3 linked regions of the Tribolium castaneum genome follow. The protein of the gene in region 1 purifies or fractionates together with the protein of each later gene. This does not show direct contact. Links are inferred from orthologs where the notes say so. Each region holds a gene or a part of one and is shown in the gene's direction. Other genes may lie near its edges. The genes, in order: AP-2sigma, Rlip and F-BAR domain only protein 2.

Region 1 (2,440 bases):
TTTTTAATCAACACAGATAGGCAACCAACATTACAGTCAAGTATACTGTGGAGTATTTCCCCTATTTTACGGCCGATTCCAGAAAAATAATTTTTCTACCTAATTTTTGAGTTAGAACTTACCTAAAAACCCTGTGTAGATATCTTTCACAAAATTACAAGTTTTGAAACAGTCGCTCACATTTCCTACTCCCAAATTGTTAATGCAACGTCTCATTAATTCTCCCGTAAAATCCGCAATTCCTAATATGAAATCAAGCTGTGGAAATAAAAGACTGAATTTTTCACCATCTTGCTCATACTGGAAAAATTTATTGATAGACTCCCAACTTTCAATTTTATTGGAATGCAGGAACTGATAAAAAACCAAGGCTTCAATAAATTCCTGTAGGCCACTTGTGTAAGCCTTCTGATATTGATAAGAATCAAAATCTTTGAGAATTGAAGCTATAGTTTTAAAATTCTCATCTGTTATAACTTTCAGTCTTTTGCAAGCTTCATCCAAGACAGCTTCTCTTTTCCCTTCTCTACAATTGTTTAGACTATTAAAACAGATTATAAACAACAACAATCATACATATCAGTGTTTGTAGAATGTAGCAAGAAAATGATACGCTTGTTTTCGATTGTAATATCTCGACTCAGTTTTACAATTTTTTCGTAACGGTCGTGTTTCTCATCCAGTTCTTTCCGAAATCCAAGAAACATCTTAATTACACGGTTATTCTCGTCAATATTTTCCAGCACTTGGCGCCCCTTTTCGCCAACTGTAATTTTCGATTTACCATGTCTTGAATCTAAAGTTCAACAATGTCATGAATGAAAGTTAATATTTCCAACATACTTCTATTTCGCGACATGATAAGACTTAAATGTTTACATAAAAAAATACATTCAAGAAGAATCAAATTAATTTATGGACACTCCTAACCTCAATTATCACTGTCAGACTGACAGTGACACCTAAAATCCCTAGAAGTGCCCCAAAAAATTGTTATCTGACTCGTTGGGAGGAGGTTTTGTTCAATTAAATAACAAAACCTGCCGAATTATTATCAGAAATTTAAAAAATGGTGAGTTACTGGTGTTGTACTACGTTTGTGAATTGTTCTCGACAAGCTTAATCGATTCTAACCAATTGTTTGACTCCCAGATTCGTTTTATATTAATCCAAAACCGGGCGGGTAAAACACGTCTAGCTAAATGGTACATGAACTTCGACGACGACGAGAAGCAGAAACTGATAGAGGAGGTGCACGCCGTGGTCACAGTTCGCGACGCGAAACACACAAATTTTGTTGAGGTGAGTTGTCCAAATGGGGGCTTGAATGATGCCTTTTTGTAGTTCCGCAACTTCAAGATTGTCTACCGTCGATACGCCGGCCTCTACTTTTGCATATGCGTCGACGTGAACGACAATAACTTGTGCTACTTGGAAGCAATACATAACTTTGTTGAAGTACTCAATGAATATTTTCACAATGTTTGTGAGCTAGACCTCGTTTTTAATTTTTACAAAGTGTATACCGTTGTTGACGAGATGTTCCTGGCGGGCGAAATCAGGGAGACGTCCCAGACCAAAGTACTCAAGCAGTTGCTAATGTTGAACTCACTTGAATAATTTTATCAAAAACGATATCATATTGTAGAATCTTATTTTATGCCATTCCTGTTTTTGTGTATATGTTTAAATGCAGGACCGTTGTTTAAGTTAGAAAATATCGGCAAGATTGGGTGTATATCTGAAGTGTAAATTTCTTATTGATTTAATTATGAATTATGTATGAAGAGCCAACATGAACAATATAAATACATTCCGAATTTTTATTTATTGTAAGTATAGAAGTGTATAAATGCTGGTGTTCAAATATAAAAGTTAATAAAAGCTTCAAGTTTTACCTTGTGAAATTTGGCATTTTCTATTATGCCTCAACTGTTACGGGCAACAGTTACGTCTTCTTCATCTAAAATGCCTTCTGGAATACTTCGCATGCGTTTTCTGTTTCTGCTTGATAATTTTGTCTCCACGTTAGGGAGATTAAGTGATGGAACTGCAGTTTTTTTAAGTCTCGCCTTTTTTACAATTGCTGCTGAATCTTATTCAACAATTAATACATGAAATAATTCTTACATCATTTCGTTAAACTAAATAAAAACGTGGTCAAGAGTACTCTCATCTTAACCAAGTTCTTTGGACTTACCATGCAGTTATGGTAAAGGTACTTACTCTTGGGAAGGTAATCTTTTCTGAAATGAAGCGAACAAACTCTTATTTTTGGAGAAACTTCTTTCTTCATCAATAATACTTCCAAGAGCTTTCTCCTGCTTACTTTTTCTTTACCCCCACATAGTCGTTGGTGGTTCGTCAGAAGATATGAAAATGCAAATCTCTATGTTCATCCTCGACTTGCAACCAAGAATACAATTTGTGTTGCGAACGA
Region 2 (3,760 bases), on another chromosome or scaffold:
TTGTGTGAGTTTGATGGTTACATTAATCAGTTGTATTGTAATGACTGCGCTATACTTTGTACATACATATGGGCTCACTCCACAATACTTTCATATATAAAATCTAAAAAATAGGCTGTTTCGTTTTCGCTTTAGTGTGTACCAATATATTAAGCATTATGTAGCTGGGCTACACGTATAACTGCTTAGCTGAGATTTCTTAAGGTTGGTTCATTAGAAAACAATACAATCAATGTACGTTTAGTTGAGCTAAGAATGTTTGCACTTTTCATTGAAAATGGCAATCATACGATGGTAAATTTTACTTATTTACTTAAGGTATGCATTTCCCCAAAAAAATTTAGTTGTAATGTTGTTTCAAGACTATAGATAAACGCCACTCGCCAACTCGTTGTTCTAATACCATTTAATGACACAACCACCGTTTCTTTTGTTATTATATTATTGTTTTTTTTTTGCGCGTAGCCTCGATCTAAAGTAGGGACTACTCTTTACGTTGTTACATTGCCGGATTTTCTTTCACTCCTCCCGTAGTAGGGACTACTTTTTACTTTGTTACGTTGCCGGATTTTCTTTCACTCCGCCCGTAGTAGGGACTACTTTTTACTTTGTTACGTTGCCGGATTTTCATTCACTTCTCCCGTAGTAGGGACTACTTTTTACTTTGTTACGTTGCCGGATTTTCTTTCACTCCTCTCGTTTGATCTAGCTTGAGGATATTTATAAGTTGTGTTAGGACCCCTTGACAACTGGTTTAGGGGCAAGACTAGACAAAGGTGTTGTTACTTGAAACTCTGTTTTTATTAATACGACTAAATCCCATTTGTTTTATATTGTTAACAGTTTTAGGTGTCAACTACTCTTGATATATTTTTATAATGACCTTCCCTTTGGTATGTTTATGAAAATGTAAATCATAGGACAGGCAAGGAGTTCTTTTGTATGTGTTTTCGTAATATTGTATTTAGAGTACTAATTCATCATTTTAAGATAGTTGAAAATCTGCTTTTCCGTCTCGCCTGCAACCAACCACGTGCAATCGACAATTGATTGCAGGCGAGACGAAAAAACACATAAATCTTGTGATAATTAAACGTTTTTTTTGCTCAACTCCTTGCAATTTATTACATAGTTAAGTTAGTTTGTAAAGTGTGTTGTGGAAGTGTGGTCAAAGATTTGTCTTCCTGTAACACGTAAAAAAAATTAAAAAAAATTACAAAACTAGCTCGTCTTTTATTTCGAATCTCCCGGTTAAGGCGGCCCTCAACACCAGTTCCTTCAAGAGATGGCAGGGCAAGCACCTGTCATATTACACCACTCAGATGACTTGATTTGTGTTGTTTCTGTTTTATCCCAGCTTAACATGCTTAGCAACAAATTCCCTTGGGAAAATAGTGTCATAATTATTTATTAAAAGTTCAAACCCAACCGTGTCAATATGGATTTTGATAGCCCCGACGTAATGAAGGATTTCCCAGGCTTGTACGCATCCGAATTAAATAAGCAGTGCAATAACGACAGCGACTGTAATAATAAATTAAGTGAACCACTAATTCCCGATTAAAACTCGTTTCTAGATAGTGACGAAAATGAGAAAGTCTTGAAAAAGGACATTCTCATCGGAAAACGCAAAGAGAAGAAGGATAAAGACAAAGGTTATGCCGCTTTAGAAGGCGAAAGTTCAGCTGATGAAAATTTCAAGTCGAGGTAATCACACCTGCAATCACTCAAACCCTCACTGGGATGTTTCAGAAGCCCGTCGAAAACAAAAAAAGCCAAACCGTTCAAATTCTCCACCAAAGCCAAAGAAAAACGGGACAAATCCCGCGAAAAAGAGAAAGATCTCGACAAGAAGAAAGACCGGGATAAGAAGAATGACAAGAAGCAGGACAAGGAGAAAGTCAAGAGTGAGAAAACGAAGAAACTCAAACAGTCAATTGACGAGACCGCTGACATCGGCGGTGAGAACTCTTACATAATGACAATAAAATTGGAATGAATTGTTCGTTCCAGATATTTTACCGATTTTCGGGGCTAGTTTAGACGTGGCTGTTGAGAGGAGCCGGTGCCATGACGGTGTAGACATTCCTTTACCCATTCGGGAATGTATAGACTATGTAGAAACCGTAGGTATGTCGTTCGAAGGCATATACAAAATCAGCGGAACAAAATCAAAAGTTCTCCAAATACGTAAAATGTACAATCAGAGGGGCAATATCAATTTAAATGACTACGACCCTCCAACCGTCACAAGTTTAGTAAAAACCTATTTAAGGTAACCTTTTCTTAGGTGTAACATGATGGGCAAAAACTCTTTGCAGAGATTTACCAGAACCACTTTTTACAAACGACCTTTTAATACGTTTCGAGGAAGCCGGAGCCATCCTTAATCTCAACACTCGCGAAAAACACTTAAAAATTTTAGTGGACCTTTTACCTCCCCACAACAAAACGCTCCTCGGCTGGCTCATCACCCATTTACACAACGTTTCTCTGAATGTGAGTGCCTTAACACCCCAGCCCCCATAGTATAGCGCGTTTCGCAGGAAAAATGCAACAAAATGAACAAACAAGCCATTTCCACAGCCCTCAACCACACCTTCCACTGCTCCTCGCGCCTCCTCCACGCCCTGCTCCACCACTGCCTCGCGCTCTTCCCCACAATCACAATCGCGCGCTACGTGCCCCCTCTCGAGTCCGGGGCCAAGCTCCCCGAGGAGCCCCCCGAGATCGAGACGGAGCTCAAGAAGCAGGAGTCGCTCCTCACCCAGATCCACAAGGAGATGAACGTCTGCTGCATCTCGAAGCAGCGCGAGGAGCTCCTCTGGGAGGTGCAGAGGATCATCACGCAGCTGAAGCGCAAGCTGAAAACGGCGAACCGCGACAAGGAAGCGGTCGAGAAGGTGGAAGCCCCCGAGCCCGAGGCGCAGCCCGAGGAGGCGGCCAGCGAGGAGGAGTCGGAGCTGGACGGCAGCGTCGCGCTGCTGAAGTTCAAGAACGAGGGGCTGCTGCTGCTCAGAGACTCGCTCCTGAAGGACATCCAGGCGGAGCGCGGCCAGATCGCCGTGCTGCGCTCGCAGATCACGGGGGAGGTGCCGCCCGTGGCGATGGTGCCCAACGAGGACCTGGACGAAGTCATGGACCTGTTCCTCAAGGAGAACCAAATTTTGCAAATCAAGAAGATCAACTTGGTCCGCCAGATCATCGAGGAGCAGGAGATGTGCATCGAGCTGAGAGCGCAGATTTTAGCCAAGTCGTAATGTGTCCAGTATTATTGTAACTGTATATAATAAATGTTCAAATTGACGCTGGGTTTAAATTTAGGTAGACTTGACATTGGAGTGGGCCTAAGGTTACGGTATGCAACTAGCAATGCGCCTGAACTAAGCCAACAGGCGGCGCTAGCACTACTTAAGTCGAGTATTTTTACATGTTTTTGTGCGTGTTGTTTTTATTTTTAGTGGGGAGTGAGTTCGTACTGTTTCATGTCCGATATTATTTTAGAATAGGAAGTGGTTGAAGGTGTTTAATTTTTTAATTGTTATTTGTTGGATTTTTACGACCGTCCCTTGTGATGTTTGCTGGCGTTTGGCAAAGTCAATAAATAAGATAAGGAGTTTCGTTAGTGTTTAGTGTGTATACATTGCTCATTTTATTATATTGTTATAAGTCACATTTTGAATCGAAGCCTCAAGGGACCATCTCGTGGTAAGTCTTCTGTGACCCAAAACCCCATTTATGACTCCCACGTCAATAACAA
Region 3 (3,760 bases), on another chromosome or scaffold:
TGTTGCCTCTATATAGTGCTAACTATTTTATTATTTTAATTATTCAAATAAACTTTTTAATCATAGCAGATGTTTTACTTATAACGTGCTATTCCTGTTTTACTCTTCAGACCATTTTCCCAAACGGGTCAACGACCATTTAAAAGCCAGTAGTAATCTATGGATAATAATCAATTCAACTAACACCCACTTTTCAAATTATGACCCAAAACGTATCTATACCAACAAAGACCAAACATACCTCACCTACATCCGACACTATCTTACACAAACATAAATACTCTGCCTCCTCTCCTGCTATAAATAACTAAAGCTCTACTATTCTTTACATTAGAACATTCCGAGCTTTTACCAGGTAAGTTGAAAAAATATTTTTCATTTTACCGATTTTTAAGAGACTACTAAGTTATCAAACTTTATTAAATGTCTTTATAAACATTTTTTACGACTGTAATTATAATCATTGGACAACTTATTTCGAAAGCACGATCACCGGTTTTTACATCAAAATTTTATAGTTTAATTATGATGACTCATATTTTGCTGAAATATGGGGTACGTGAATTTTTTATTTTGCCATTCATCAAACTAAAAATAAACGTTGTCAACACAGTAATAAGCTCAAATAACTTATCGAGTTGAATTTTTCTTTAAATAATGGTCCTGATCGAGCATGACATTTATGGCTTTTAGAGTTTTGTCCCCTGTCTAGGCCCCGTTACTTCAATATCGAGCCCACGTTTCCACCTCATTAAAAATTAGTCATCGTTTAAATAAATTTTTGAAGTGTTTGATTTGAAATAAATTGGCGTTTGGCGACCAGCGGGTTGGTGCTATGCAATTTGGGTGCAGTAGTGTATTCTTGGTCGTCTAGATTGGACGGTAACGCCCTCATACGTCACTTCGGCTGTATCAATTCTGTGATGATCCGCCCCCTACGATCTCGTTATCGCAATTAAATACCGTCAAACGGGTGAATGTCGTTAAATGTTGAATGGCAGATTAAGTTAAGGGGTTGATTTTTGTTAATTTCGATTGGGAATTAGTTGTTTATGTTAAATGTTGTTTGTTGTGTGTAATTAGCGTTGTCTGGTTGAGAGGAAGTCGTAAACGAATGACGGTTGTGATTGTTTATATTCGCCGTATACTAATCAGAGTAATGTGCCCTTACTTTTTTGGCTAGTGATAACGCATTTTCAGTCATTTGGCATGGTTATAGTGCAACAATGACCGTCGACTTCAACGATTATTTTTGGGTGAGTGTCTAACCTAACCGAGGAAGTGTATCGACGTCTCCACTTCTAATCTAATTAAGATTGTTATTATCCGATTTTTACGACCTAGGGCGAGAAGAACAATGGGTTCGACGTTCTATACCATAACATGAAATATGGCCTAGTTGCTAGCAAAGATCTTGCCGAATTGCTCAGAGAACGGTAAGAGACGTCCCTGTTGTGAGCAGCAATTTACTAATTTTCGCGTCATCAGATCAAACATTGAAGAGAACAACTCGAAACTACTTGCCAAGTTCGCCAAGCAAGCAGGAAGTTGTTGCAATCAAGGCACTTTTGCCCCATTATGGCAAGTCTTGAAGACCTCGGCGGAGCGTCTTTCGGCGCTCCACATGCAAATGGTGCAAAAAGTGAGCGACTTGGTCAAGGAAGTGAACAAATACGCCGAGGAACTTCACAAAAAACACAAGACTGTCAAGGAGGACGAATCTGGGACTCTGGAGTCGGTCCAGGCCATGCAGAATGTGACTTTAATGGTACAAAAATGCAAAGACACCTACACCCAGCGGGGACAGGAATTAGATAAGCTGCGCAAAGATAACGCCAGTCCGAAGGAGATAGAGAAAGCCGAGTTGAAAATGAAAAAAGCGCAGGAGGAGTACAAATCCTACGTTGAGAAATACACAGTTATCAAAGACGAGTTCGAGAAGAAAATGTCAGTCACTTGTAAGAACTTCCAAGAGCTGGAAGTTGCCCATTTGGGCCATATGAAGGAGTTCTTGAATTCGTACGCAGAGGTCGTAGAGTGGACACACGAACAAATGGGGAAGGTCCACAAGGAGTTCAGACAGCAGTGTCTTGAGCTTACCGTGGATCAGTTGCTCGAACAGTTCGTTCGCAACAAATCCACGGGACTTGAAAGGCCAGGTAAATATTTATCTTGGCAAGGTTGGCGTATTTTATTACCGTAATTTGACACAAACAAAGGCATTGTTATATGACGGGCTTACAATTAATTGGAACAAACAGAAATTTGAGAGTAATTGAAACAAACAAGACAATATTGCGCGTTCGGAAGTGTTAAGTTACCTGCCGGAAAGAGGAAATAAAAAGATTTGCGAGAGAACATAGCATTCCACATTACAGCTCCAATAAAAAATTATGTTTTCAAATACCCATAAAATTTCAAATGAGGTTTTGAAAATTTCAAAATAAATTGTAGTTTTTAGTTTTTTGTTTTGGAAATCTATAATGATTTTTTCATGCTCAACAATAATGAATAATGATCATTACATTTTTTTAAATCAAAAAGGAACTTGATGATGTCACAGTAAATTAGTGTACTCAAATATTACTATTTGTTTAGTACTATTGTGTCGATCTTCAATTATAAACTCCCTTATTTCAAAGAAATACTATTGATTCACTATTGACTTGTGTTTGTACATTTTAAAATTCTGCCCTGTAGCGAACGAAGTCGTATAACCAACGCGTGTAACAACATAATTTTACGTCTGTAAAATACAACTAGCAATTTACATTACATTTAGGGATTGCTCTAATTAGTCATATTGACGATGTTAAATAAATAACTGATTTGTGCAGCAAGAACTATATACGTTGATGTTTAGAGCATTTTTAGAAAAAATACAATTCACTTATGATTTTTATTTTATTTATTTTAAAATATGTGAATAATATTACGTATTCTCACATCTCACAGATCAACAATAAAACTTATATTATTTAATTTTCAATACCTCATTTATTGGCAGTAAGTAGAAGAAACTTAAAATGCACTGACCTTTCTGTCCCATCGCATCATCTTCTTAAACGGACCTACTGAAATAAAATACAATGAAATTAGAACAATGTGTCATTAAATTATAGTTGAAAGTATTACAGGTTTAATGTAATTTTCCTAAAAAGAAGACATTGTAGACTTACCCTTAAATCCGGATCAGAAGTTTCCTCTTGGAAATCCCTTCCAGTAGCACACAATAACTGCGAACAACACGCACTAGCCAACGAATTTGAAACTTTTAAACGACAAAATTTTGATTTGACTTGTCTATTCGCGACAACAGCAAGTAACAAACTGAATAAAACTAAACGGCACAACAATAATTGTGTAAGAATATCGATAAATCGTCACCAACAAAAAATATAATATGTGAAATAATTGATTATTACAAGGAGGGAAACGAAGAGATTTGTATGATTCATTGATTTGTGTTACGACTTCGTTACTTAACGATTTCTTGAGGTACCTACTTGAAAAATATACAGGGAGGTGCATTTTTAAGGCCGGGTCGCTGAAACACATTGCTTGAGCAAATAATTTCGGATAAAACATTTTAGGGAAATTTTTAAGTATTCGCAACTTCGGAATTAATTTCAAAAAAGGCCAGATTTACTGATTCATTGTCGAACCTGTTCCCTTAAAAAGGGCACGATTTATAAAAAAAAATCGTAACAGTTTCGTTATTCATGGCTGCGTATTCAGCCTATTCGGAATCGTATTTGAA

Evidence for each region.
Region 2: the proteins of AP-2sigma (region 1) and Rlip purify together in Homo sapiens (co-immunoprecipitation; 3 studies listed by BioGRID and IntAct, counting the BioPlex papers as one, with this or other methods). This does not show direct contact. The link is inferred for Tribolium castaneum from reciprocal best matches to the Homo sapiens genes AP2S1 and RALBP1.
Region 3: the proteins of AP-2sigma (region 1) and F-BAR domain only protein 2 purify together in Homo sapiens (co-immunoprecipitation; 3 studies listed by BioGRID and IntAct, counting the BioPlex papers as one, with this or other methods). This does not show direct contact. The link is inferred for Tribolium castaneum from reciprocal best matches to the Homo sapiens genes AP2S1 and FCHO2.

Annotation. Positions count from the first base shown.
Region 1 is NC_087396.1:14,084,639-14,087,078, forward strand, and holds AP-2sigma (AP-2 complex subunit sigma), read left to right. Parts: upstream 1-935; 5' UTR 936-1,069; coding exon 1,070-1,072; intron 1,073-1,152; coding exon 1,153-1,302; intron 1,303-1,344; coding exon 1,345-1,620; 3' UTR 1,621-1,813; downstream 1,814-2,440. Other genes in the region: Trax (translin-associated protein X), read right to left, coding at 123-526, 577-796, 844-859. UniProt on the Homo sapiens protein: Component of the adaptor protein complex 2 (AP-2). Adaptor protein complexes function in protein transport via transport vesicles in different membrane traffic pathways.
Region 2 is NC_087403.1:3,536,336-3,540,095, reverse strand, and holds Rlip (ralA-binding protein 1), read left to right. Parts: upstream 1-1,296; 5' UTR 1,297-1,438; coding exon 1,439-1,526; intron 1,527-1,577; coding exon 1,578-1,707; intron 1,708-1,752; coding exon 1,753-1,961; intron 1,962-2,013; coding exon 2,014-2,275; intron 2,276-2,321; coding exon 2,322-2,499; intron 2,500-2,546; coding exon 2,547-3,260; 3' UTR 3,261-3,306; downstream 3,307-3,760. UniProt on the Homo sapiens protein: Multifunctional protein that functions as a downstream effector of RALA and RALB. As a GTPase-activating protein/GAP can inactivate CDC42 and RAC1 by stimulating their GTPase activity.
Region 3 is NC_087403.1:5,305,425-5,309,184, reverse strand, and holds the start of F-BAR domain only protein 2, read left to right. Parts: upstream 1-906; 5' UTR 907-1,156; exon of another isoform or gene 1,157-1,200; 5' UTR 1,201-1,226; coding exon 1,227-1,256; intron 1,257-1,344; coding exon 1,345-1,436; intron 1,437-1,488; coding exon 1,489-2,159; intron 2,160-3,760. UniProt on the Homo sapiens protein: Functions in an early step of clathrin-mediated endocytosis. Has both a membrane binding/bending activity and the ability to recruit proteins essential to the formation of functional clathrin-coated pits.